Linked DNA regions of Lepisosteus oculatus. The protein of the gene in region 1 purifies or fractionates together with the protein of each later gene. This does not show direct contact. Links are inferred from orthologs where the notes say so. Each region holds a gene or a part of one and is shown on either strand. Other genes may lie near its edges.

Region 1 (7,194 bases):
ATGATGCGACAGCAGCCATAGTGCACCAGTACTCTCACCACACATCAGCTATCAGTGGGGAGGAGAGCAGAGTGATGAAGCAAGTTCAGAGATGGGGATTAATAGGAGGTCATGACTGATAAAGGCCAATGGAAAATTTGTCCAGGACGCTGGGATAATACCCCTACTCTTTTCGAGAAACGCCCTGGGATTTTTAATGACCACAGAGAGTCAGGACCTCAGTTTTACGTCTCATTTGAAGGACAGTGCCATTTTACAGTATAGTGTCCCCATCACTATACTGGGGCATTAGGACCCACACAGACTGCAGGGTGAGCGCCCCCTGCTGGCCCCACTAACACCTCTTCCAGCAGCAACTTTTAACGTTTCCCAGCAGGTCTCTCATCCAGGTACTGACCAGGCTCACACTGCTGAGCTTCAGCGGGCTGCCAGTTGTGAGTTGCAGGGTGATATGCTGCTGTAATAATGTGACAACAGACATCCAAACCAATAATGTGACAACAGACATCGCGCTAATAGAGGTACTAACCTTCGTAAAAGCAAAGTAATGTTAAACCAAGTTCCTAACAAATATATCAGCATTAAAGGGCCCGGGAAATCAATGGTAAGAATAGGATTGTTAACCCCCCATGCCCTGGCTAAATTCCACTCTAGGCTTGCACACTCTGACCTGCCTACTGTCAAATCTCCCACTCAGTCCAGTAGGTAGAGTAACTGCGCACTATTCTTTCAGCTGATCTGCTGAGCAGTGGGGCCGTGAGCACATGAGAACTGCTACACCAACCCAGGTGTGTCCCTCCTGCAAGTGAAAACGCTGTGGGATCCTCTGAGATGAAAAGTGATATATGCACAAATTATGAATGACATATTTCCCTGCAGAACGCCCTGGGCAACTACACAGGAGAGTGCCAAGGAACAAGTAAAGGTTTATCCCATGCTGAAAAGAGAAGAAAAGAAACACAGTGTTTCGGCTGTGGAGCCTTCTTCAGGCCCGTCACACACCTGAAGAAGGCACGGAATAAACCTTTACTTGTTCCTTTTTGCAGCCGAAGCATGGTGAACTCCCTGCTCCAGCTTATACCTTATACCTATGGCGAGCAGCTCGTTGGCATAATGGCTTCAGTGCCTGACTCGCATTCTGGAAGCTGGGGTTCGAATCCTGCTCACGGCATGAGTTCTCCTTTTCCCGCGGCCGGTAGAGGAATCCTACTCCATCGGGCCCCTGAGCAAGGCCCTTCACCCCAGCTGCTCCAGGGGACTGACCCTGCGCTCTGACCCCCAGCTGTACCTGCGCCCGCGGTGCTGCTGCACGGACTGGCAGGCCGTCTGCATGAACACGATCCCCCGCAGCTCCGCGAACTCCAGCACCTCCAGGAAGTCCTGCACCACTCCCACATCTGGCACCACGTAGTGGGTCACATCCCCGGGCAGCACCTTCCCTCCTGCTGGCAGACAGACACCAGGGCCGGTCAGCACCCGCGCTGTCCCCCCCCGCCGCTGGCACTGCCTCTGGGGCTGCTGGTCGTCATCATCATCATCATCATCATCATCATCATGGCTGCTGGTCATCACTGCTGCTTCCACTACACGGCTCTCTACAGCTTTAAGAGCCTGCCACAGGACTATATGTGGACCACTACGCCGTTTTTGGACCAAACGTCTGTTTTTTTTCTGTTTTTTGTGCAATGTATTTTTATATTTATAATGTGCAATAAAAGTTTTTGTGTACTGTTCTGTTTTTTGTACATTCTGTACTGTGTGCAACTTTTTTGAGTGCACTTCTCACTGACTGTGTTGTGTTGCTGTATTATTGTATTATTTCCTTACACAGTTGCTGTGTTGACTGCGCTCAGCTGCTGTTGCACTGCAATTTCCCTTATAGGATCAATAAAGAATCTATCTGATCTAACGGTTTATAACTGAGAGGAAGGCAGGCAGGCAGGCACTGGGCCTTCATTCATCTTCAGAACACATGGTGAAAACAAGACCCATAGAAAACAGGTGGAAATCAGGCGGATGTTCATTTACAACTGGGGACCGAGGCACTTCTTCGCCCACAGTGTGGTGGGAGTGCGGAACAAGCTATCCCACCAAGATCCTCAGATCAGCTAGTAAGCACCGAACTGCTCGGATGGGCCACAACGCCTCCTCTCGTTTGTAGCCTCTATGGTGTTCTTACGGGTGTGTTTATCTCTTTTTATTTTCAATAGCTAACTGATTTATCCTTTCAAATGTAATATGAATCTAATCGCGTGCTACATAAAGGCAAGGCAACAGAGATCACGTTAAACACACTGCGTTTTTACAACGAGACGAGCAGCAACAAGTGGCTGTTTTTTAAAGAAGAAATGAGCTGCCTCCGAGCCTGCACACAGCGGGTTCGCCGGCCAGCGCGCTGCGGAGAGTAAGCCAGGGGATTTCTGTACCTGCACAGACTGCTATTTTTCATTTTACTTTCACATAACGCGTTAAGATTGTTTTACAGTTTCCTGGACGAGGGAAAAGAGGGAATACAGAGAGACTGATCACAAGCTTGCTTCGTGTTTTTCTCAGTACGCAAACGGCAGATCTACATATTTACAGGAGAGACAGCTTTTCGGAAACGATATGCTGGAAAGGGTGTTTTGTGTCCAGTTTTGTCTTCGTTTCATTTACAAATCGAGAAACAATAACGTTACCGTTGTTGCAGTCCGCCTGGCACAGAGAGCTGTAGCAAGGTACATATTCTCTCAAATAATGTTCCCGCACGACACGGACCTTTCGACCGCGGGAGCTCTTGAGGTGAAGGATCTTCTCTGTCTTCAGCATCTCGTATTCCGGGAATAGACAGAATATCGTGATGTCGCCACTACAGCTTGTTTTCCAAGTAATTTATTTGTAAACAACAAGTCCATTGAGAGACGCTGCACGACATACCCACACACTCATCGCTAGCTTCACGCTACTTCAAATAGCGCTACAACAGCCTTTGCGTGACCTGGAAGGACTGTTCGTGTGTTGTGCAGCGAGACCTCTTGCGTCACAGGAAATCACAGATGAATAGAGAGTGGCTTGTTGGGGAACATGGAAAATGAGAAAGCGTCTCTGCCCAAGTTGAAGGAAAGAGCGGGGAAGGGACGAGTGTTAAACGTCTCAGGCAGGGGCGTAGTGGGTGCTCCGGGCTCTAACTGACTCCCAGCATAGGGCCACCCCTCCAATTTACAATGCAATCCTCGAGCGCTATAATCAAACAGCAGAATTAGCGGAACCTTATGTTTATATACATACGGTCAATTCAATTCAATTGAATTCAAGGTGCTTTATTAGCATGGCCGATGGGTACAATCAGTGTTGCCAAGAGTTGTTGTGTTGTGAGAGAGAGAGAGACCGACAGTGTTGTCGGTCTCTCTCTCTCACAGACACACACAAGTTAAGCAACAATTACCTAGGCTGCCGAACGCCATTGTGCCACGGCGGATACACATAAAAACAAGCAGTGCCTACCTCTGTTGTGAGGTTTTGGCCTTCTAGACCAGACGTAGGCGTCGGGGCTGGGAATTGAATATGGCGATAATCTCGTCACTGTCTAGAGAGTCGGCAAATTCCCGTTTAAATGTCAGCTAGTTTGCAAAGGTCTCTCATATGAGCACCTTGTCTTTAGCTAAAGAAAAGCTGCAAGAGCTCATTTTCACTTGTTGCTTGTAACAGTTCTAAGTATTTCGAATGCCTAATTTTAGATTTCGGTAGTTTTACGAGTTACTCTGAAGTTAATATTTTATTACAAAATACAATGAACACACGCAAAACGCAAGATTCAAAATCCGTGTGAAATTTTGTATTTAAAATACAATGCAGGGTTTACTTTGTCATTATCCGTGTGTTAGTATTTACAGGGGTCTTATGTGCAAACACAAGCTATGAGCTCACAGTCCTTTTATCTTTGTGTTTCTAGCCAGTCCTTGGTGTGGAATACAGCGAGAGGCACACCTGCCCTCTGATGACACAGGTATGGGTGCCTGTGTTAGATCCTCAGGTGAAGTCGAGTCTTCTGCAGTCTGCAATGTAATGACCCAGACAAGTTTGCTTGTCCTGCTCCGTGAAGTTGCCCACCCGCCCGTCGAACAGCACAAACGACGAAACTCATCGCAATCGTTACTGCTGCGTCTGTGCCGGTTTGTGTCGCTGTAGGTAGCGTTCGTGCTGCTTTTGTTTCCGAGATATAGCGCCTTGGTTTTTCGGGTAATCACGTGAATATCTACAAGGAAGTTTACAGGTACCAACAAACTCGGTACTTGAAGTCCTGATTGTGATGAAAACAATGGGGGCAATTTGTTTTCCGAGTCTGTCTGGTCGGGTGGGGTGGATGTTTCAATTTATTTCAATATAGCGCCTTCTTTTCCTGGCCGTGACGTCACTCGGTGACGTACAAAACAGCAAAGCCACAACCACCAAATCTTTTGATCAGTTGACCCCAGACTTTGCAGCCTTTACACGAATAAACAGACTTACATTTAGGGAGGAGTTACTACGTTAGTTCATTGGGTTAGGTGTTTTCTTTCAATTTTTAACCATGTTCTCGAAAATGTATTGCTTGTGTACTCCTTTCATTGGTGAGGAGACACCAGTTTCCAAATTACCGCTGGTACAACACAAGAGCCCATATTCACATTTTAGGTATTCGTTTCAGATCGATATAATTTAACAATAAAAAACAAAATTGAAAGCACGAGCATAATAATATAATTATCATAGACTTACAAAGCAGAAGGTGTTTCCCCTAAAATATACGATTCAAATTGTTCAATTACCATGTATGAATTACAGAAAGCAGTGGAGACAGTTATATTGCAAATAAAAAATGTCTTTATTTCGAAGAGTACGGTACATTGTGAATCAACAAAAAAAAATATTTAAAAAATAAGCCGATGTAGTTATTTTGCAAATTTGTAAAGCATTTTAAAAATATATCCTCATTGACAGTATACATAGAGGTATTAGTGGGGCCAGCAGGGGGCGCCCACCCTGCGGTCCATGTGGGTCCTAATGCCCCAGTATAGTGACGGGGACACTATACTGTAAACAGGCGCCGTCCTTCGGATAAGACGTAAAACCGAGGTCCTGACTCTCTGTGGTCGTTAAAAATCCCAGGGTATTTCTCGAAAAGAGTAGGGGTGTAACCCCGGCGTCCTGGCCAAATTTCCCATTGGTCCTTACCAATCATGGCCTCCTAATAATCCCCATCTCTGAACTGGCTTCATCACTCTGCTCTCCTCCCCACTGATAGCTGGTGTGTGGTGAGCGTTCTGTCGCACTATGGCTGCCGTCACATCATCCAGGTGGGGCTGCACATTGGTGGTGGTGGAGGGGAGTCCCCATTACCTGTAAAGCGCTTTGAGTGGCGTGTCCAGAAAAGCGCTATATACGTGTAAGCAATTATTATTATTATTATTATTATTATTATTATTATTATTATTATTATTATTAAACACGCCGATCCACCTGGTGCTGCCAGCTTGAACAGCTCTCAGACCCGTGATTGACTAAACCCCCGAGACACTTCGGGTCGCGATTGGTTGAAGAGTGAGAATCGACACTCTGATTGGGTAAAGCGCCACAGCGGAAGTTCTGAGAAAATGTAGATACAGAGGTGATGGATGTTCTTCTTGGTCCAAATACTGTAGCCCCGGTTAACCGTGTGTGCTGTATGAGCATGCTGGATATACAGTAACATATGCATTGGTTTCCAATTTCTATCAACTGAATAGCAGACAAAGAATGTCATGGCATCCACAGCGCGTTCACGACTCCGATAGCATGTCACGATAAGAGTGCGCGCATCACGATCACATCGCGATAACCATTGCGACTGGCGCATCACTGTCATGGCGCCACTGTCACGACATAAAGTCTATATATAGTGTATGGCATATAATCCCCAATCTGATATTTCAAGAAGTAGGGGCTCTAGAGTTTTTACTAAAGTGTAACTTTGACATTGGAAAAATCCCCTTGACACTTGCCAGTTTTCATTAACAAGTACTTCTGACGTGGTCACTTATGTATAAACATAACTTTTCCCCACATAGATTTACTATCTGGAACAACAAATATATAATAATTAGAAATAAAACCTTTTTTTTTAAACTGGGTCAAGAATGATATAATTTGGATTAAACAATTAATCAAGACTGATGGTAAAATATATAGTTACACCGAGTTTGTTAATAGATACAATATTTCTATTACTTTGGATCAGTATTTTGCTGTAATTAATGCGATTTCTGGGGAAATATTAACTCTTTTAAGGAGTTGTAATAGTAGTCCTTTAGAAACATTGGAAGAATGTACAGCTCATATTAAACTACAAGGAAAGGATATTGTGAGTAGTGGATGTAATAACCAATTTTTGAGATCCCTGTTAAAAAATGATAATTTACTTGCCACTACAATGTATTGGAATTCCGCATTTGGAAAGCGCATTGATTGAAGAAAAATTTGGATGATGCCCAAAAAATATTGTATAACCAATAAAATTAAGGAGGTTTCATACAAAATAATTAATCGAATTTACCCAGTTAAAACTCTTGTTACCCAACGATTTAAAATTAATATAGATGACAAATGTGTTTTTTGTGACAATAGCCCTGAAACTATTCAGCATTTGTTTTGGTTATGTTCCAGGGTAAAAATGTTCTGGACTAAGTTGCAGAATTATATTAAAAAAGAGACGAATATTGATATTTGTTTTGTTGAAAAAGATATTATGTTAAGTTTCAGCCCCAGTGAAAACAATATAAAAATTTCTTTTGTAATAAATTTAATTATTATATTGGCACATTATCACATACATAAAATGAAGTGGTCTGGGAGGTACCCTGTGTTTGAGCATTTTAAAATGGAAGTAAAGGGGTGTTTGCAGACTATATCAAAATGCAAAAAAATGAAAGCGGTGCGGACATTATTTTTATTTAATTTGTTTAATCTTTTTTCATAACTTGAATTAATGTAGTAGTATGTACCCCTGACGATATTTTTGTTTGGAATTGTTATATGTACTCTTGTTTGTATTGTAATGTTTGTTCTTTTGTTAAGCATAAATAATTAAAAAAATAAAAAAATTAAAAAGTCTATATATATCGCGATATCGCGATATGACATATCCTGACAAAACGCACCCACCCCCATGTCACGACATGGAGCCTGCATATCATGACA
Region 2 (7,301 bases), on another chromosome or scaffold:
TTCAGAACATTTTGTACAGACATACAGGTCAGACTTATTACTACTCAAGCTTTACATCTCCATTGAGCCCTTTATTCACAATACCGCTAAAAGCTGCACTGCATGCAGCGTGCGCTGACTGCCGATGAACCCATCGGCAAACGCGCAGCTCTTGTTAATGTTTTTTAGAAGCATCAGAAAGGTGTCGAGCAACAGAGGGCTGTTGTCTGCCCTTCAGCATCTACAAAGGATACAACTTTGGCTAGAACGATATCTCCTGGTCGGAAACTCTTGTAGATCTCCACCTGATAAAGAGTAAATTTACAGGTCATGGGATTGGGAAACCGGAAATAAAGGCACTTATTGGATATCAATGCACTGCAAGTCAATTTGAAAATAATACCTTGTCCTTTTCTGTAGCTCTCACATCTTCCTTTCTACAAAAAAAAGTATTAGAAATTTAGATTCTGTACCAAAAATACCTAAATGCATCACACTCACAGAAACATGAGACGCCAGCGTCTTTCAACTTTCCATCAGTTCAGTATTGCTTAGAAATATTTTAATTCAGGGTCACATGGGAATTTGCCTTATACTGTGCCAAAAAATAAGCAGCACTACTCTGTCGTACATGACAGCGGCATTTTACCACCTTTGTGATGACAGGGACCAGCTTTCTTCCTCAACCTGGGCTTTAGCCTTAATGTCCTGGCTATTTTCATCTGTTTTCATATAGTTACATTTATGTCTGTAAACTTATAACTACAAAGCTCACATGTATAGAACGTTTATTTATTTGTTGTAGTTGTTTAAATCGTTAGCCCAAGACTTTGTGCATTGTGTTAACATGATGCAAACAGGCAAGAAGAATTGGCAAGACTTGAATGAAAAAACACATGGACCGATGGAAATTATTCAGTAGAGTCTCCAAGCACCAAAAATAAATGCAAATTGTTTTTAGACTAACAGTTCAAATACAGCAGTTGACAATGAAACAACAGTGTTTTCTAAGGACAAAAAATGCATAATAAATATTCAGAAATTATGGTCATACACACAAAACCTGTCCGTGTGATGTGGATTTTTCACATTTCACTCACTAATAGAACAGAATATAAGTTCACTATGAATGGAAAATTCAATTGTGAAATTACATACAAAAACTCAATTTGTCCATAAAAATTATTAACTCTCACATAGCATTGCAAGGAGACAGCCATGGACGGGTCAGTGAGAAAAATGTATCACAAGAACAACACATATGTTATGCATTATTAGGGTATTTACAAAGTAAATAAAAGTATATGCTAAAATATAATTTGAGACATGTTACTTGAAATGTCATTGCTCTAGTTACCTGATTGTTCCTCTGAATCTGTCCTTCAGTGGGGTGGATCCAACATAGAGGATCTGGACCTTAGCAAATCGTGGGTTGATGCTTGTAACCTGTTGGCAAAAGACCTTCACTCCCCTGGAACTATAATGTTGACCAAGCCTCTTTCATAACACTAACTCCACAATCACCAGGACAAAAATGACATTCTGTTTCACTGGCACTTCACATCTATAATAGGAATTTTCGGCTATTATCTACAACTTAAGATATTATTAGTCTAGGGTGGCAAAAAAAACAATAATACCAAAATACAAATGACCAAAAAAACAGTGAGGTAGGCTTATGTTAGTATTGCTATGCCTGTGCAGCACAGAGCAAACCGAGGGATGTTAGGACAGAGAACTTCATACTTCTGTGTAAAACACCCTGGAGGACAGAGCTCCTACCTTGCATGTGACTGTAGCGCCAACATCAGGCAGCAGCTGAGCCTCACTCTCCTTCACCACCGAGACCACAGGCATCTGCAGAACACAACAGCCAAGACAAATCTCCCATTGCTAGAACAGTACTCTTGCACCATCACAAATGCACAATCCAGTTTCAATGACCATTTACAGATCTTTCTGGTATATTTTAAACCATTTTCCTCTGCACACGCAACACTTCCTTCCACACTTAGGAGATGCACTTGGAGGAAGTACAATTCTTCCACACTCTCACCCACCTCCTCTCCCGCGTTCTTCCTCAGCACATAACCAGCGAGGGAGGCAAAGATGTAGCCATGACGCAAGTACGTTCCAGGCCCCGGGACACACTCCTCTGTGCTGCACAGCCTCTCTCCTGCGGGACGACAATATTTACAGGCAACCACTGCTCAAAGTCCAGCCCCAGAGCAACAGAACAATCAAACAATGCTGTTTATACTGTCAGCATCACTTGAAAATAACAACTTTCAAGTGCCAACTTTAATAAGGACGGGGTCAGAAGACGTGGCTTAATGGTTTAAATGTCTACTTTATAAATGGCGTTAAGCTTCAAAAATAGTCTCTACGACGTACCTAAGACACGAATTTCGTCAGGATGATGTAACTGTCGGTAAAGCGAGGTTAACTTTACAAACTATACTAGGTTTAAGTGTTTGGCTCCTGATGGATTGCTTTGATACTGCTACTGTTTCTAATGTTATACCTCACCATACACCGAGTCCTTTCAATACGACTTTTAATTTATCATTCAATTGCAAAGTTGTTCTGCAAGACAGGTATACCCATACTCAGTTTCTGGCATCACTTTATGAATACAGCTACCGAAAACAGCAACGAAATGTGCTATAACCTCTGTTGCCCCGAGAGACCTACCCTTACTGACAAAAAAGTGTTATATTAAACAATGTGGCTCAGTCAGGGGATCATTTTCAAACTTTTAAGAATTACTATGATTTTTACTTTAAAAACTCACACAACATTTGGTGAATGAACTAAGAATCAATACAAGACAAGAAAGTGAAACCCTGCAGTCAAAATGTATCCATGTGTGTATTAACTGCTGTCAGGTCCAGACGATTCAGTCATTAAATACATTTTATTTCACATAACGTTTTTAAACCCCACGTACCTGGCACACACAGCGTCTTAGGAGACATGTTTTCAGAATAGAATAAGAAATGCTCTGATTGGCCCACACGGCAGAAGCAACGAGTCATCTGATTGGCCAAAGCTAAGAACGGCTGTTCTAGATTAAGCTTTTTTAGTGGTTCAGTGTTACTGACTTCCGGTCGAGTAAGAGACCTGTGACCTGATTGCGAGTCTATGATGTGCTTTTAATTTTACCATGGCTACATTTTGTTGTATTGCAAGTTATGTTAATCTGAATACACCAGTTAACAGAAAACATGGAGTAAAATCCCACCTGTAATTGTACAGTTCGAGTACGTAGCTGCTTCAGAATGCGTAGGCTGCAAAGGGGCAAGTAAACGTATATTCCACGCGGAAACATTACGGTTCGGCTGTGGAGCCTTCTTCAGGTGTGATATTGTTAAAGCCACACCTGAAGACTACACGGCCGAAACGTTGCGTCTCTTTTCTTTTCCTTTCAACATGGAATAAACCTCTACCTGTGCCTAAATGTACAGTTGTTTTAAAAGCGGAGATCGTGACGAGCAGAAGAGTATCACCTTTAAAGATCTATCTATGCAGGCTTTATGAATGTTTTTACCTTAAAGGAAAGTTCTGCTCTGACAGGCTTAAATCACTTTCATGTGTCATTTTTCAAAAACGTTCTGGAAGCACAAATGCATTTTATGTAGTCTACATTTTGAGAGCAGTAGTCACGGATACCTCCATGTAATCGAGCAGTCCCGTCACGGTCGTCCACTTGTCTGTTCACTATCTTCTGTCTAAAATTATTTTCAGGATTGCATTTTTCTTTATGTGCTCCTCTACTCTAGTTAAACTTACACTACTTTAGACGTGGCTGAGAAGCTGACCTGTCTATAATTCCTTAATTCAATTTTGTCCCCGTTTTGGTATGAATGGTAATTACATTTGTGATTTTCCAAACAGGCAGGGTACCCTGTACTCCAAGTGTTATTCGAAATACTTTTTCAGAAAAGCGGGTCTGGTCCACATGTAGTTTGAACGTCAGACACCTCCTTAATTTATCGCCGGATTAAATCGTTTACAACCAAGATGGTAATTTCACCTAAAGCAAATGTTTAATTCCCCCATTTGTGAACACCTGTATAACCGTTTACTTCTTCCACTCCGCTCTTCTGGATAATAGATGTGCATCCCAATTACCCTTTGTTTCTTTACAGCTAAACTTTGCAAAGGATAGAATACAGTTCAATCCATCCAATCCATTTTTTAAATATTTTCCTATTTTAGTATTTTACATATGTCCTGTGCATTACCTAACCGTGTACGAGCTCCATGGATCTCAGACCCCATCTTCATCAGTCCTCTCAGGAAACACACCAGAGCATAACTAATTTTACTTTCATAGGTTTCATGGTAAATACTGTAATGCCAGCGTTTTTGAGGACGCGTTTAAAACACAGGATGAATTATGTCCAGCAGAGGGCACTCTGACCACACTTCTCCCTGTTGAAAAGCACCTTACAGGAGCACTCAAGACCTTAGCAGAGAATATCTCCAACAATTATTTTAATTCTTCCAACAAATAGGTTTCTCTGGCAAGTATGGAATGATACTATTAGTGATGTGGTATTTATGAAGACTACAGATCAGATTTCAATGTATGTTTAAATCTTATTTCAACTAGAAATTTTCACATTTTTATATAGCTTAACAGGAGTATATGGAAGTGCAAAAGAAAAAAATCATAAACATCATTTTATGAGATAAGTGAAAATAAGGGACAAAAGTCAATACAATACTGCACATCATAGGATTTATTTGTTTTACACAAGGGGTTCAGTGTACATCAAAACAGTGCATTGCAATAAACCCTAATCAAACTGAAGCTCTCTGAAGAACCACTGGCAGCAAAGCCACATGAACACTCATGTGAAGAGCAGGGGCAGAGTATCCTGCACACATACAAACTGAGGAACAGGGGCTTTCACCTGCAGAACCGAAGAATGCTGCAGTAACTGGCTGCTTATACTCCTCTCCAAAGCCAAGATTCAAGACAGAACTAACAATCAAAACATCAAGATTTAGACTGGGTCTTCGGTAGAGGAAGACAAACTGGAGAAATGTGTTAGTTCGTGTCCTACCTCAGCAGCCCTTTTATTTGAAGCAGAATCTGTTACTGTGTATGGAAAGGCCTTGTACACAAAGCAGATTCACTGGCTCTCACTGTAGGTGCTATAGGTGACGGATTCACACTCGATGTTACACTGGGTTCAGAGACAGGGGCTCCTTATTTCTCGCTTGTATGCGCTCAAGCTGCAGAGCCCACTCCTCACGGGAAACTGGCAGGAAACCTACACACAAACAGCGTCACAATGGTGAAAACTACAGACATACCAGCATGTGACGGGAGGGAGGGAGGGAGGGAGGCAGAGGTGCCCAGGTGGCAACAGCTCTCAGGAGCTGACAACAGGGATCGTGGAATGAATCGAATGCAAAAGCATTGCTCCTCGTGTGCCGGTCTGTAACCCAAAACCTCAAAATGTGCGACATCGGAATGACTACAGCGCACACAGAAGTTGCTGTGAAAAGTAAACCTGTGAGAATGAATTACAGGGCACATTCCAGCTTTATCCAGCAATAATAAAGCTTTGTGTCCAAATTTTGTTTTCCCTGTTGCATATTTACTTATACAGGAGACAAAATGAAAAGTCTGACTTCCCTTTTAAACTGGGCCAAGGGTTCCCTTTGAAAAGTTGTCAAATTCTTTAATGGCATAAACAAAGCTTCATATGTAAAACGAATTTGTTCATGAACGCTTAAACAAACTGTAAGGATTATCAATGACCTTTTTCGAATGAAGAAGCTAGGAGTCAGATATTGCAGGTCAAGAAACTGTTTGACTGAGCTACTGGTCCCTTGTTTGAGCTTTGGTCTACATTAGTCTTTAACATTCTCCTCATCCTACCCTGTCCATCTTCGCGTATGACAAATTTAACAAGCCCGCTCTTCTTGCTTGTTACCTTGAAGAAACCCTCCAACTGTCCTGTATCAGAAAGAAAGTAAGAGAAGGACAATGCTAAATGACCTGAGCGAGCGCCGGGAATGAAACTTGTGATGTGTGGTGTAGAAGGGAGGTTTGCGTGTGTCCTCCGAGAGCAGTGGCACAGCGCCCCCCTGCCAGGAGCCTCCAGCGTTCGTGCACAGGAGGCTTTCTTTTTACTTCTTGGCCTTGCCCTGGGCAGCCACCGCCTCCATGGCCTTGCGGACAGTCTCCTCGTCGCCCAGGAACTGCATGGGCTTCACGGGCTTCAGGTTCTTGTCCAGCTCGTACAGGATGGGGATGCCCGTGGGGAGGTTCAGCTCCATGATGGCCTCCTCCGACATGCCTGTCGACACAAGAGCAGCCTGAGTAATGGCATCCTGCCACCACCGCCGCGCCGCCGGAACAGCTCGGCCGGCGGCAGGTCGAAAACAAATCCCGAGGCCAGTCAGGCATTACGAGAACATCAGAAATAAAGTACCAGTTTTGGTGCCACAAGATTAATGGGAAAATAGGTTAAATGAAATGTAGCTGCCATAATATTGAAACCCTGCCCTAAAAACAGAGCGTCCTCGGCGGGTACATACCCTCTAGGTGCTTGACGATGCCCCTCAGGCTGTTGCCATGGGCAGCGATCAGGACCCTCTTGCCCTCCTTGATCTGCGGGACTATCTCCTCGTTCCAGAAGGGGAGAGCTCGGGCGATGGTGTCCTTCAGGCTCTCGCAGGAGGGCAGCTGGTCCTCCGTCAGGTCAGCATAGCGACGGTCCTGCCGGAAGCAGGGAAACACAAGGTCTCTCTGGGTGCTCGTATAATGGTACACTGAAGGAGTGATTTACAGCAGGCCCAGGGCTGGACTGAAGAGTCAAGGTTAGAAAAGAAGGTAAACATCAGTACGCACGTTCGTTGCTAAAAAAGCAGAGGACAGGTCCGGTGATGGTATTTTGTGGAGACCCGTGCTTCAGAAGGGCTAGTTTCCAGAAGATATAGTAGACAATGAATTAGAACTCTGGCCTTGGCTGACAGAAACTGCCAAGAAACATTCTGGCTGTGATGCTGAAACTCAAACTTCATTACAATACCGAGCACCGTTTAAGGACTATAAATAGACAGCCTGAAAATAAGAAGAATTCAGATTCAGTGCTCGAACAGAGCACCTGTAATAATAAATCAGAGAATACCGGCAATCTCAGTCTGCCTCTGCTACAGCTAAACTGACTCTGGTGTGTTGTCATGTTTGAAAACAAATGTATCAGCTTCAGTTCAGTTATAAGTCCTTAAGGCTCATTGAATAGTTTTTTTTTTCTTTCACTTCAGTTGTTAAAAAGAAATATTTCACAGCAAGTCAA
Region 3 (7,288 bases), on another chromosome or scaffold:
ACCCTGCAAAGACGAATATTTAAATCAGGGAAAGAAATTACCAACTATAACTCCCTCTCCTTGAGAGACGAAAAATAAAGGCAGTGTATCTTTAAACCTCTTATAAAGAGGTGCAATGCTACGCACTGAATTTCCGAGGCTCTGGAGCGGACGTACTCACCAGCACATCCACATACAGAATCCAGCAGTGCTCCTTGGGGCTGATACAGAGCGCCCGCAGGTCAACGCTGTGGCGGTTGTTGAACACCTTGTACAGCGTGTTACTGATCTCGGTGCCGAGGTCTTCTCCCCCTCGCCCTTCAAACTCTGGGGTTGCGTTTGCCGAGCTGAGGAGCAAGTTTTCAAAAACACGTGAAGATTTGTAGCTCGAACCAGCCCTTAAATCCTGGAGATTTCAGGAAAAGACAAAACAGTTGCGTACAAAATGGACTTACCAATATTGCAACAACCACTATCTGCTACTATAGCATCGTTAACCTTCTATGTTCTCAAAGTGACTCTACTTTGCTTTCCCCTCTTGTCCTTTCCCAGCGTGCAAGACAAGATGTGGAGCAGAGGTTTGAAGAGACGGATTTCTCTGTGCTGGGCAGCACAGCAGTGAGGACTGACAGCTCTAGGACTCTAGGGTTGATCCTGGCCTGGGGCAGCTTCTATTTGGTTCTGCAAGCTTTGCAGGTGTTCACATTGATTGTGCCCAGGTGCTCCACTTTCCTCTGGATGCCCACAGACAAGGCGACAAGGTGTCTCTGGGTTCTATGTGTATGTGTGCAGGAGTGAGCGCGCGCCTCTCTCTCGAGACTAGCTCGCTGTCCAGGATATAATCCTGATTCTATCTAAGCAACACGGAAGTCCTCTGGGTCAGCCTCACCAGGAATAATCAGCTTTATCATCAGTGTTGGAACTGAACTCAGAATACACTCCCAACATTAGAAAATGTATTGTTGTGATTAAATATTTGTCACTTCACCCTCTGCCTAAAGAAATTCAGAGTTAATCTGAAAACCATTGATTACCGGTCCTCAGAGTGAGAGAAAACATGTCTGTTGACATTAAAAACCAAAATTCTGTTTCAAAGACTTTCAGCAAAGGCAAAAAAAATCCATTTTTAATCCTTTACCTCCACCTACTGGTTGTGTATACGAAGTGTATTCAGTGGAGTGGTTCTTAAATGACAACTGTTTTGATCCAAAATCAAAATAAACACATCCTGGTACGCCTTTGTGTCAGCACTAAGGCCTAACAGCTGACGCTTCAGAAAAGGGGTTTTCAGTCTTATAGACCACCACAGGAGACAACTGCTACCGGCTGGCTTTTCTCAACTGCACTAGTAAAACTGTGTTGTGGCTCGAAATTCCATATCTAACTGAGGAAGCTTACAGAGACAAATGTTCTCTGAAGTAAAGTTAAACTACTTGGATTACACACAGAAAAAAAACATCAGAATAATTTAGCAAAATTTCAAACTCATCATTTGCACCTGAGCTGTGCAGCAGAGAATTTGAGTATTGAATGCAACAGAGAATTTTGACATTTTCATTGAAAAGATAACTTTGGTAACACTATCAGCATTTCTTTTTTCGCTTTATCACTTAGGAATAGTCTGTGTTGATTCAAAATAAAAAGTCAAATTTGAAAGCGTCAGGTTTACCAGCTCGGATATAAAATGTGGAATCCTTCAGGATACTTGTGCAAGACTCTCTGTATGCTCTTAAAATTGAAGCAGAACTACGTATTTTCAGTTATGGTACACTCAGATTCATCCTTCTACTTATCATACACTTTTGAAGAGTTAATACTCTAGAACTTTTTAATATTCAACTGTCGTAACTGTAAGTACAGTGTAGAATTCATATTACTACTGTCACAAGACATTGTGAATTATTTTTACTTTTTAAATTTGCACTGTCAATCTGTGCAACATACAGGACCCAGTGAGAGCAGTGGTACTGTGCTGAAAACTGCTGTTTGGAATAAAAAACAACTTACCAGTCAACAAAAAACTCCAGAAACCCTTCATCTGGCACCATGGGCCTCGGTCTGCCAATCTCTGCTTTGATTCCCACAAGGATATCCGAGTACCCCTGGAGAAACCAAATAAACATCACACCGCGAAGGAGCAAGTAAAGGTTTATTCCCTTGAGAAAGCTTGGGATCCTATTTCAACTCACACTGCAAACAGGCTTATACACTGCTAAATGAAGTCTGAAGCAACATGTGATGTAGAGAATGTGGCTGAGCACAATACTCTCTTTTGTCACTCTGTCTGGATAACTCAGATCTCCGCAGTGGTGTTCTAAATGAAGTGTTATATCTTCATCAACAATTTACCCATAAGCAGCAATGAAAAACATGGAAACCTCCATATTTTTATCATGAACACACACACCCCCTTGTCACTTAGCTCATTTGTCTGAGCGCAGGGAAGACAGTGAGACGCACAGCTGCATCGTTGCCTCTAGAACGAAGGCAGACCGGATGTGTTATTTACCAGTTTAACTCTGGCGGACCCGTCGGTGTTGGACACTACATCAGTTTCAATCTCCATGTGTCTGTAATCTTCACAGCCCCGCCCATCCACTCGCAGGTCATCCTAAAAAAAATACAAAAATAAATCGTGCACGTTATTTTCCAAACAGGTTTCTAAAATCGCTTTCAGCGTGAAGTTGTTAATCGGCTACCGACTGCTTATTACCAACTGGGTTTCTACATAAGCACTGAAAACAGGTTACTCTCACGGCGAGAGAGAAGTTGGTTTGCATTTAAAGCTCCGTTTCTCCCGCTTAACAAACTCACACACCAAAATTGAACACCCACCCCCCTCCCAGCAAAACACAATTTCGTATAATTTTATAAGGTAACTCACCCGAACACCATGCACGATGTAGACCTTCTCTGCTTCGCTGATCTGCACAGTAGCCATGTTTTCTCCGCACCACGTGTGGCCGGGACAGCCGCTACCTCATCAAACTGCGACACGCCGGGGGGGGGCGCGCCAGGTCGGTCCGATTGCGCAATGCTGTGAGGATTTTTGCGGACTTGGAAAAACTGTTGCATATGCTGGCAGCCCTTTGCCTTTCAACAGCCTCCGGGGGGTAATATACCAAGAAGGACGCCTCGGAAGATTTCGCACTGGTGTGACTGAAAAAACGGGAAGGAAGGGTGTTGTTTAGCTGGAGTTCGGGGCGCAGGAAGCGTCGCCTCTTCACGCACACGGCGCACTTCCTGGTTGGTTACTTTCGCTTGCATTGGCTTGGCCAGAGCTCTCCAGATAGTACAGGGACCCTACCGACTGCACCGTCGAGCAGGGGCATGGTGATGCGGAACTGCAGCCACCTTAATCTATGGGTTAAGGAGGAGTAGGTCGGGCAAACCGGCAGTTAGTTGCGTGATAAGACACACGCACAGCGCCTTTGGTTCAGAAGGGAGGCGCGCATCGCGGTTCGCCAAGGTGCGCTGGCAGCGGGAGGCAGCGAGTGTATGAAGCTGACATTAGGTTTTCCATCGCGGGTGTTTCTGACAAGGAAACAACATCTGGCCGCCTGTGCCTTAAACGTGCAACCCCCCTTCGTCCTTTGAAAGGTGAGTGCAGACCAGTTGTTCGGCTTAAACTCGAAATCTTGCACAGTGGCGGTGGTTTGGATTCCTGTAGCTGAAACGACGGCTCGTTTAAAAAAAAAAAAAAAAAAAACATGCCACCTTTGGCCAGTCTGCGTTTCCTCCCATTATAAAATAGCGCTAGCGTTGTCTGAGATACCGCAAAATAGCCTTTGGAAGTCGAGCCCATGCCGCGAAGGTGGACGGGTTTGACGTCGGTTTCATCTCGAAGCGTAAAGGTTGGCAGTCTCGGGGAGACATCGTCGCGTCCACCCCACTCGCGCATTCCTCCCAGTTTGAAGAGGAGTGACTGCGGCGATATGGCTGGCGGTCTTTCCAGTTCGTCAGTCGGCAGCTTTTTGTCGTGTCAGGTTGGCCACCATCTGTGGTGCGATGGAGTGTGTATCACCATAGCAGATCCATGTTACAAGTAATGTAGAAAGTGTAACAGAGATATCGTACAGTGTGTTTACCCCCAGAACCCTTATGGAATGCCACTACAGCAGACGTCATTTTAATGTGTTTATCTTGTGCTGGGAGTCTTCACATTGCTGTGATATAGGCTGATGTTGCTAACGTCTTCCACAATGCTAAACGTCCACAATGCTAACTAGTTTTTAAACTTGAGTGCTATTTTCTTACTGTAATTTGTTTGTGAATAATATTCACGATGCATTCAGTAGTAGTCCCACGAACTTACAGGATAACAAGATTTACCCTCCACTTGGTGTTTTAAAAGTATAGATTTTTTACAAATAAGTATAGGGGTGCAATGAAAATGTACCACTTTCATAACGGTAGCGCACTGGGCTTGTGCACTATATTATTCACATCTTAATTAAGAGTTGAGATGATTTGTTGATTGAGTAGTATTCGTTGAGAGGGCGAAATACTATCAAGTCGTTTGATTTAGTAAAAGGCCTGCTGTTTAGTATTTGTGAAGAGTTAAAAGAATCAAGATGAGCTGGCAACCTGTATAAACGTGATTTAATTAACGCAAGAACAGTGAGATATATGACCCTGCCCTGCTGGAGAAGTGAAGATCCTCTGGTTGCCGTCTGCATGATTGAAGGCTGTAGGAAGAGCTGATCCGCAGGAGAATGGGGCTGGCAGCTCACTAGTTGAGAGAAACCAGGAAACTGGCTCTGTGAGGGACAGCCTACAGCCCGAGAGGCAGGGGGGCACCACGCTGGCCGGGACTGTGGCGTCCCATTGCGGGACTGTCTTCAGGTTGGGGGGGCTCCGTCACTGGAGGAAATCCTGGAGGACGTTGCAAGCATATCGGCAGATGTTGTAGCTCCACACGTGCACGAAAAAGATCCGCGAGTGTGAAGGCTGTTCAGGCATCGTCTCCCGAAGGTGCCAAAGAACACGCGAGGTGGCAGCCGAGGGGGTGTTAAGAGTGTCTTACTCACCTGGCGGTTTCACTCTTGACAAACCCGATGGAGGGGTGCCCACATGGTGAGCTTCGTGTTGAGTGTTGCTCCGGCCAGGTGTGACCAGCTGACTTCCAGCTGCTGGAAGCAGCTGCAGAGGTGTGTCGGATCATCCCACAGCGGACTGTGCAGAGGCTGATCAGGTCCGTGCATCATTTGCTCAGGACAGTTGTTCCCACTGCTTCCTTTGCAATATTTTCATTTTGACTTTGTGGCATTTTCTCACCTTTTAGTCTGAAAAACCTTTTGCATTTCTTTGATCCCATCACATTTTCTGTGGTTTGTGACTAGATCAGTTTTAGAGCTGTGTTGCGTTTCTTTTGCCCATCGTTACAAAATTGTGCTGCACAGTTTAAGGTTTGTTCCCCAACGCTACATTTTCCTGCACACGGCACACTTAATGCATGCCAGAGAAAACGCTCTGCAGTGGTTTTGAGAATTTTGTATGTATAGCAATGTGTCCATGTGGTCAGCATTATGTATAGTAAATTTCAAAGTACATTATTGAATACAGGGAAACATTTGCACAATTGCACATTGTGAATTTATAGATTTTGTTTAATTTGAAAAGTTGCCTATAATGCTGTTGGATTATTTGCATTATTAATCTTCACTGTAATTGTAGAAGAGCCGTGTTTCCGGGACAGTGACATTGATAGTCGCACAAGGCCTGTGGTCTTGCAGGGAAAAAAAGCTTTTGTGTGTGTGAAGTACTTGGTAACTTGGTTCATTAGCCAAAGGGAATAGTGCTTGGAGTCTCTCAAAGCCTGAAGAAGCCAGCCTCGCACAGACTGCTGTCTGCTAATTAATCATTTCTAGATGATGTATAACTCTTATTATTCGTAATGATTGTTTGGCATTAGCCGGGATTCTGACATTTAAGGAACTGAGTTACTTTTATGAGGAGCATTTGAGAGTTCTGCTGCTGGCTTTGAAACGTCCGCAGTTCTACTATAGCAACTTAGTAATATTACTTATTAATCACGTTTTTTACAATGTGGTGGTCAGTACCGCACTCTCTCCCCCTTCTTTGTGACGAGGTTGATCGTAGGAATTCATGTTTCACGTTACAATTCTTTTGACGATCAAGATATAGTTTCAGCCTGATTTAAGAAATTCTGCTCTGACACTGCATCTGTTGGCTGTATTTTTTAATGTTGCTGGTTGCTCTGTCATCTTCATTTTAAGTTTTTCCCCCTTTGAATTATTGAGCTTATTTTAAATTATTGTTTAAAATCATCAATTATTGAAAAGAATCTGCCTCTTCTGTTGGTAAGAAAGAATTCCAACCCATCTGATGAATGCATTAGTTTTTTATTTGGTTTTGAATTAGAATGTGATCTTATTTTGTTGTCGTTTTTTTTTGTTGCAGTACCATTGTTGTACGTATAATAGTGTTTCTTCTTTTGTGACTGTGGCCTGAGAAATAATTTACCTTTCTGTCTATTACATTTGTCCCTTTGGTGAAAGTGACATTGTAGTCTGGCATTTCTAGTTCTTAGTGTTTACCTACTATCGTAGTCTAGTTCTTAGTCATATACCCTTCCCTTTGTGTGTACAGTACACAAATATGTCCCTTGTAGGTTCACAGAAAGGCACCTACAGTACCTTTACAATCTGGCTGCTTTTTAAAGAGGGAGATATAGAATATCATAACAAAGTTCAATAGTTCAATTTCTATATGTTACTAGAATGAGAAAGAATGTTCGTTTTGCATATCGGTTTTATTTTTGATGAATTGGTCATTAATGACTGACCCTGGTTCACTCAAGTGACTTTGACGCTTTCATAAGCATGAAGTCGCCTCATTAGTGAGAGGGCTGATTGGGCACAGGCGACGAGCTGATTTAACCTTGTGAACGTCCGTTGTTATGAAGAAATCCCAAGTGACGCAAAGGCAAAGGTGTTGCAGGAACAGACCAGCCTCTTTCACAATAAATCGCGGTTTGCGTTGCCCACCCTGATGTATATTGGCGAGCATGGTGCGCACAGGCAGAATGATGCACTTGATTGCTGGTCCCGGTGTGATGCCATTGGTGGTGATTTTTTTAACAGCCTGACTGCATGCTGCTTCACTGCTCATGTTCTGGGATGCCACTTGCAGTCCTTCCTGTGGGCTCATCCTGGTGCAACGATATGACAGCTGAGTGGCCTTCCTGGGAGACGAGTGTGACAGTTCAGTCCAGGTTATTCTGTCGTATGCACAAGGGCAGTGGAGTGCTCTTTCGCATGTGTGCTCCAATGCAAAGACATTAAGG
Region 4 (7,463 bases), about 32 Mb from region 1:
ATCATCGACAATTATCACTTCATAAGTAAAGGAACGCTGCCGCTTCTGCAAAAGAAACGTTTGCAGTTGAATTGACAAAGGATGGAGAAGAAAGAAACTGGAATATCAGCGCCACCTAGTGGTTATTTATGTCTAGTGCGCATTCTGTTCTAATGATCTATTTTCTATAACCTAAAGCAGCTGAACCCTCAAGAAGAATCTGTAACTCTAAAAAACTGGGTTATTCCTCCCTGTAGTAGTGAATCAGATTTCGAAGAATATGCTCTCAGGCCAGCTTAACAGCCCATTTTCCTTTATTATATGTTCAGCACAAATGTGTTCTAATATGTGATATAAATATACATGACTCAAAACTTTTTTTAAAACAAAAATAAATCATATTTCACTTTCAACCATTGTTACACAGTATAAGAACATTTGGTGAGTTATAGTCAGAAATTGTCTCAATGATTGAAAATGCATATATACAGTAGACAAGATACCTGTCTGTTTTCCAAATACTCCAAAGCCTCATTCATCATCAAAGGCACTGAAAGGAGAGTGTGACAACACAGTCACTTGTTTTTCAACAGTACGGTTCTGTATAACCGAGAATGCGATAGCTGTGCATCTGACAAACTTTGTAAAAAAAAAACATTTTAAAATTATTTTTTTGTAACAGGTAAGGCAGGTAAAAAGCACTGTGAAACTCCATTTTCTAGCTGTTTCTTGTAATTCAGGGTTGCTGGGGAGCCAGAGCCTATCCCGGCAAGAAACAGGCACAAGGCAGGGTACATCCTGGAATGGATGCCAGTCCCTCGCAGGGCAGACATATACAAACACAGACACTACAAAATTACACCAGAGCCACATTTCCCAGAATTCAATTAACAAACCGGTATGTTTTTGGACTGTGGGAAATAACTGGAGGACATGGCTGAAACCCAAGTGAACATGGAGAGAACCTACAAAACTCCACACAAATAGCACCCCAGGTCTGGAACTGGATCCAGGACCCAATGCTGTGAGGCAGCAAGGTTAACCACTGTGCCAACATGTCACCTGCACTGGTAAAATTATTAATGCAATGCTGTCAAGCTTCTAAATGAATTACATCAAAATTTTTGGCATTGCTTTAAAACAAAGCAGGGTTACTTCATTGCTTCTCAGACTTATTCTGCTGTAAGGAATGTGGAGGGTGAAAATGAAGTTATTTTATATCTCAAACTACAGTGGCTGAGATACAATATATGAAATTTAACAGTGTAAGATGGTTACAGCTCTTTAAAATCTGGCAGACTTAATACTTAATTCTAAATTAAAACAGCTCAGTATCATTTAATTGACTAGAACTGCACCTTTTTCCAAACCATAGATTCAACATGTTTGCATCATTACAAAAGAAAGACAGCAATTAATCTTTAAACCTGGACAAACTACAGACACTGAAGTCTGTGCTGAAGCGTTCTTGAGGAAGAAAACTTACATCTCTGCTCTTCATTGTATGAGGGCACTATCACTGAGAGGTCTTTGGAATGGGGGTCGTGGAGACTTGGAAAAGCTTCTTTTTTCCCTTCATTAGTCAGGAAAGTTTTTTCCTTCTCGTGACGTTTCAGGTCAACAATTTTAGACGCACTAAAATGTGCTACTAATAACACCTGCAGAGGAGGAAGGAACAGTCATTCACCCACTCGTCAACCTTCCCAGTAATGTACAGTAAGAGTTACAAGGGTCATCCCATGACCGTGAAATGCACACAAATGAATACTAACAACACAGGAGAATCCTGTACGTGAAGGGTACATTGTGGGTGGAAACTTATTCTAATAATAATAATAATAAGGGACAAGTAATAGGTTTATTCCGTGCTGAAAAAAAGAAGAAAGAGAACACAACGTTTCGGCAGTGGAGCCTTCTTCAGGTGGCGGTAGAGGAACACACACACACCACACCTGAAGAAGGCTCCACGGCCAAAACGTTGTGTTCTCTTTCTTCTTTTTTTCAGCATGGAATAAACCTATTACTTGTTTCTTTGCAGCCTACGCATTTTGACGCAGCTACCCACCTGAACTACATAATAATAATAATAATAATAATAGTATCACTTTATTAACCCTTTACAATTTCTTGCATTAGGAATTGTCTGTTTGCATACCCCAGCTTGCTCTCCATGAGACACACAGACAGGGAGAGAGCCTGGGGTCAGAGCGCAGGGTCTGCCATTGTAAAGCACCCCTGGAGCAGTTGGGGTTAAGGGCCTTGCTCAGGGGCCCAATGGAGTAGGATTCCTCTGCCGGCTGTGGGATTTGAACCGGCAGCCATCCAGCCACAGGCACAGATCCTTAGCCACAGAGCCACCGCTCCGCCAGATACTACTCACTCAAATTTTCACTTTATTAATTATCTCAAACAACAACTTAAACCAAACACTAGAGAGACTCTAGCGTGGGAAAAGCTATCAATAGTGTCACCAACTCGGTATGCAGTGGAAATAAAGAAAAATCGCTTCCCACTTGTCGTGCGATGTCAATTAAAATAAGTAAATTACAGTTGTAACCTTGGTTTTCCCAAGTAAAGCAAAGCAAAAGTAAAGCAAGATCTCATTTTGAAACTTGCAACTACTGTACTTTGAGGGGGACAAGATGTTCTTATCCCGGCATTATTGAAAATTTGCAACAGCGCTGTTTTGCCTCTAAAAGGCCTTGATCAAGAAAACAAAACAAAGCCCTTGTTTGTTTCAATATTCGAAAAAGTGCTTAATAAATGTGCAACTCATGAAAGTGCACATACCAGTATAATCTGATTGTACATAAAGGGAGGGGTGCCCAACTGAAATGTGAGTTTTGTTATAGCAAGCCCCAAGTAAAAATATTCCATGGCATTTAAATTTAACAACCATTCTACAAAGCAGACTGGAAAGCTTTTGTTTCCCAGCATGTAGCAGAGAGGTGGGCAGTCCTACTCCCAGTGGCTTGGTGTGTCTGCAGGTTCTCTTTCTGATTTCAGCCTAAATCAGCTGAATTTAACAGCTCCTCCCAGATTTTCTTATGTTGGTCCTTCATTGAGATCTAGAAAACTTGCAATTACACAGGTACCCCAGAAATTCCCAATTTAGGGTACAACAATGCCCTGGTACTTGGGATCCCTGAAGAAAATACTGGTGATCAGGAGATTATAAAAAGCGTACTGTGCAATGACATTAGAGCACCTATATTAACATTTAGCCTGTAAAGAACACATTTATCTCACTGCTTTGCATCCAGAGTTACATGAAGTTAAAAAAAACCCATTTACATTAGCGCTAAAACCATGTTAAGTATAAAGCTGCTTGCTCATAGTTTGCAATTGTCCCTGGCACCTCTGTGAGACCAGGAACTGTTGAATGAATGAATCACAAGCAGGTAATTGTGTCACGGATGGCGTTTTATTTTCAGATCCAAGAGTAACACAAATAAGTCCAAATATTCCAAATACGTTAAGGGGAAAGAATACAGAATTAGCCTAAATGTTTTAACAGTTTTAATATTATTCCTTGGAGAAAGATGTGGACAACAATACTTAGACACAACCATTTTAAAACCAATAAAATGTAGTTACTGGTACTGTATAGTTCTTGTAAGTTAAATGCCACTAATGTGCAAGGAGATCAGAAACAGTGGACTGGTTTCAAATTTACTCAAGAATAGTGTGTCTTCGAGGTAACACATCAGCATACAAGTGCTGTAAATAAAAATATAATTTACCGTAAACGTAAATCGCGATAATTCATACGCATTTGTACTGCCCATGATAACATCGACTTAAAATGATATACATGTACATATCAATATCCATGCATACTTACCAAAATTAAACAAATCAGGGCTACAGCAGCAAAAGCTAGAACGATTTCACATAAACAGCAATCCATTTTCCATTCCAGGGCCTACAGAAAGACATGAACCGTATTCCCCCAAAACTAAAAATGCTAGTACATCGAACCAATCAACTATTTTTTTCCCGCAATACCATTTTTTTTACACGTAGCTACAACTGCCCTCACTGACATACACTGACGCGGAAGTGTTTCCCACTTCCCAAGTGTTAAGCACACATCATCATAATCCAAGAGGGCATCGAATACACATGGGTAAGGTAAATACGACTGCGGCCTCTACCGGTTTGGAGCTGGCTCTCATGCTAATACATTTTAAAATTCAAAACGTAAATATCGATCTGTCTCGAACATACTAACATTATACAATTATGAGTACTATAAATTGCAAAACATCAAGATGCGTCCCCCCCCCCCCACATATCACATTTACCTCATTCATCACGCGAATGATATTTTCCTCTTTTCACGTTACGTGCAGCTAATTAAAAAAGGCTTCGTTTTTTTAACCCGTATAAAGTAAAATAAAGCAAAAATATAGAAATTCAAAGTACATAAAACGCGAATCTGTTGCGAGCTAATCTTTGGTATATTCACCCCGCCCACCCGTTTCACGTGGTGCACCACGGAAGCAGCATGGCGGCAGGTTACAAGTAGGTGAATTTAAATTCCCCCATCGTATGAAAAGTTAATTTCAACCACTCAGTGGAGATGAGGAATACCATTGGATTGTTTTCAGGCACCGAACATCGTGATTTCTGATAAGATCGCTGTATTTCCACTGCTGAAACCGGGACTGTAGATAATTTACGTTTGGAACGTTATACGCATATATCGTATTAATTCATAACTAATCCGCGTTGTGAAATTATTTAACCAATTGATAAGTACAGGGAGTCGCTCCATTCGTGTCTTTAACAGGAGTTTTCCATTTATGAACCATTCATTTAATGTGGTCATTCGTAGTGTTCCAAATTCAAATGAACAGCCTGTCTATAATGTAGCATTACTGTATGTTGCTTTAATGCAAGATCGAGCCGCACACGTATGGTACATCGTTTTTACTTTCCCGGCAGATTATTTTTGCGTTGTGAAGTCTTGACAGAAGGGAAAATGTAAGAGAAAATGAGATTTGCTTCTCTTTAAAATGTAACTTCTTTCCTCTTTCAGAACTGCAGACCCTCTGGAGTACCACAGAAGCTTTTTGGTATGTTTTGGTTGTCTAACTGTATTTCGTAGTCTCAACACACAATTTACTACGTGTAGATGTAAGTTACTGTCAGGAGTAAATTGCTTCCTGTATAGGTTCATTCATACCATGACAGTAATGCCAATTTTTTAAAGCCATTATTGAAATACAGAAGTAATGATCAACGCGAATGACAATACATTGTGTACTGGTGAGACCGGAGATCTTCCGGTAAATTAATGCATTCATTTTTAAATGGTCTTAAAAGGGTTCCATGTTTTGAAGGATCACTTTGATAATTAAACATTAGCTTGAGAGACTTGCACTGGAAGTGTAATGATTGCTCACAACTGAGTTAAGCGTCAGGGTTAAGATGAAGAGTTGTCAAATGAAACAGTTTTTCTAGAAGTTCTGCGAATTTAAGTGATTTGGATTGTTCGACCCCATTAGAAAGAGAACTGCAGGCCTGACGGACGAGAGCTTGGTGAATTCCGAACCACCACATTGAACATCGGTGAGCATTCACAGTTCTTGATATACTGTAAGGCTCTGTGCCATTGAAGTTAAACGGCAAATAGTATACAGTCTCTTTGCTTTAAATTAGCATCTCTATTCAGTAACTTCTCAAACACACCAAGGTGTAAAAAAGATTTGAATCCTCTACTCATGCTGATGAGGCATTGTACCAGAATGGTCACTGACTTTAGTTTCATTACTGCTCTAAAGAAGTTGTTTTGTAGATGACTAATGTATCTTAATGCGCTTCGTTAGGTTCTGTTTCAACGGCTGATGGCTCTGCCTTAGTGAAGATAGGGAATACCACCATCATCTGTGGTATTAAAGCGGTAAGGCCAGCCACACTTCTATTACTGTACACCTGTGAGAACAATAACACAGCTGTCCATTAGTGTCCACCAAAATCTCTGTTGTTGCATGTTAGTGTTAAATACAAGTAGAGTGTTATTCTATAATATTCTTAGAGGTACACTGGTTTCCACTATTTTAAACAATGTTCATCAAGCTGACTATTCACTGATTAAAGATCCCTTGACACTTTTTGAAAAAGTATGGGGATTAACCCCAGGTGCACTGTCTAAATTCCCCTCTGGATTTGGCCTTTTTAATAGTTCCTGTTAATGTGATGGGTGAAGTGGTTAATCACTTTTCCCCTTGATCTGCTGTATTGTCAGGCCGCTGGTGCATACTGACTGCCAAGTCACCCAGGCAAGTATTTTAGTAAAGGGAATATTAATTATAGACTATTTCTCTTGGTGTGACAGAGGGATTGGAAAAGGAGAATTTGTAAGTAGGATCCATTTCACCCTGATTTTTGTCCCCACCCCTTTTCTGTTGCAGGAACTTACAGCTCCACCAGTAGATGCACCAAATAAAGGTTACATAGGTAGGGCATATATCAAGAAAATAATTTCTTATGGTGTATGGACATAGAATAACCTTCCTTCTGCAGGTGATGTGGCACAAGTAAATCTTACAGCACGCTTGTTTCGTGTTTGTTTCAGTTCCCAATGTCGATCTGCCGCCCCTCTGTTCCTCTCGGTTTCGCCCTGGTCCTCCAGGAGAACAAGCCCAGGCAGCCAGTCAGTTTATCGCAGATGTCATTGAAAGGTATTCAGCCCCAGAGCAGCATTTATACCAAAGTTACCCCGTCCTTGTTCGGCATAGCAGCAGTCCAGTAGGTTTTCTGGATCACTTTTGAATGAAGAATGTATAATGCCATGGGAAAATGTCCCACTTACCCAGACCACTTGGTTAAATGTGAGTAATTTAGACCCTTAAGAATAAAGAAAACTGAAAGTCAGTCCACAGTTTTATATTTGCTTTAAGTAATCAGAAATAGTTAATTAAGGCTGATCTTTGCCTCTGTAGGATTAGGATGGACCACACCTGATCTATAGAAATCAGCTTGAAGACACAGTCTCTTAAGACTTTTCCAGTTGTCTTGCACTGTTGAACTACTCAAAACTAAACTATTCTCCGTTTCTCAAGTTCTGTTGTCTGATCACACTTTATCTATATAAACATATTTTGGTTTCTTTATAGTTCACAGGTAATACGACGAGAAGACATTTGTATTGAGAAAGGAAAGGTGGGTTTTCTCTTGATCTCCAGCTATTAACAATGTTTTAAAAGTAATTACTTAAGACTTCTTCACACTTTTTTAAACCTCAGCTTATATTTATTATAATTTGCAGTGTATATATTTTTTTCTGTAATGTAATTTGCAGCTTTCTGTATTTTAGCTCTGCTGGGTCCTGTACTGTGACATTATGTGTCTTGACTACGATGGCAATATTCTGGATGCCTGTATTATAGCCCTGATAGCAGCTCTTAAAAATGGTATGTATAACAGTTATTTTAATGAAAAACTTAAGCAGTTTAAATAAGCAGTTATTTAAAATT

What was found.
Region 2: the proteins of dis3l (region 1) and exosc1 purify together in Homo sapiens (affinity purification with mass spectrometry; 4 studies listed by BioGRID and IntAct, counting the BioPlex papers as one, with this or other methods). This does not show direct contact. The link is inferred for Lepisosteus oculatus from reciprocal best matches to the Homo sapiens genes DIS3L and EXOSC1.
Region 3: the proteins of dis3l (region 1) and exosc7 purify together in Homo sapiens (affinity purification with mass spectrometry; 3 studies listed by BioGRID and IntAct, counting the BioPlex papers as one, with this or other methods). This does not show direct contact. The link is inferred for Lepisosteus oculatus from reciprocal best matches to the Homo sapiens genes DIS3L and EXOSC7.
Region 4: the proteins of dis3l (region 1) and exosc8 purify together in Homo sapiens (affinity purification with mass spectrometry; 4 studies listed by BioGRID and IntAct, counting the BioPlex papers as one, with this or other methods). This does not show direct contact. The link is inferred for Lepisosteus oculatus from reciprocal best matches to the Homo sapiens genes DIS3L and EXOSC8.

What each region holds. Positions count from the first base shown.
Region 1 is NC_090700.1:47,684,767-47,691,960, reverse strand, and holds the start of dis3l (DIS3-like exonuclease 1), read right to left. Parts: upstream 3,001-7,194; 5' UTR 2,809-3,000; coding exon 2,679-2,808; intron 1,446-2,678; coding exon 1,289-1,445; intron 1-1,288. UniProt on the Homo sapiens protein: Catalytic component of the RNA exosome complex which has 3'->5' exoribonuclease activity and participates in a multitude of cellular RNA processing and degradation events.
Region 2 is NC_090699.1:16,729,462-16,736,762, reverse strand, and holds the start of exosc1 (exosome complex component CSL4), read right to left. Parts: upstream 3,010-7,301; 5' UTR 2,958-3,009; coding exon 2,930-2,957; intron 2,156-2,929; coding exon 2,040-2,155; intron 1,837-2,039; coding exon 1,762-1,836; intron 1,426-1,761; coding exon 1,337-1,425; intron 417-1,336; coding exon 383-416; intron 285-382; coding exon 234-284; intron 1-233. Other genes in the region: phosphoglycerate mutase 1, read right to left, coding at 6,130-6,299, 6,541-6,721. UniProt on the Homo sapiens protein: Non-catalytic component of the RNA exosome complex which has 3'->5' exoribonuclease activity and participates in a multitude of cellular RNA processing and degradation events.
Region 3 is NC_090705.1:41,383,083-41,390,370, reverse strand, and holds the start of exosc7 (exosome complex component RRP42), read right to left. Parts: upstream 3,018-7,288; 5' UTR 2,921-3,017; coding exon 2,864-2,920; intron 2,591-2,863; coding exon 2,489-2,590; intron 2,082-2,488; coding exon 1,987-2,081; intron 327-1,986; coding exon 161-326; intron 1-160. UniProt on the Homo sapiens protein: Non-catalytic component of the RNA exosome complex which has 3'->5' exoribonuclease activity and participates in a multitude of cellular RNA processing and degradation events.
Region 4 is NC_090700.1:15,731,522-15,738,984, forward strand, and holds the start of exosc8 (exosome complex component RRP43), read left to right. Parts: upstream 1-4,440; 5' UTR 4,441-4,489; coding exon 4,490-4,506; intron 4,507-5,023; coding exon 5,024-5,060; intron 5,061-5,492; coding exon 5,493-5,556; intron 5,557-5,813; coding exon 5,814-5,887; intron 5,888-6,398; coding exon 6,399-6,444; intron 6,445-6,562; coding exon 6,563-6,668; intron 6,669-7,103; coding exon 7,104-7,149; intron 7,150-7,303; coding exon 7,304-7,400; intron 7,401-7,463. Other genes in the region: alg5 (dolichyl-phosphate beta-glucosyltransferase), read right to left, coding at 1-45, 483-529, 1,466-1,637, 3,824-3,889. UniProt on the Homo sapiens protein: Non-catalytic component of the RNA exosome complex which has 3'->5' exoribonuclease activity and participates in a multitude of cellular RNA processing and degradation events.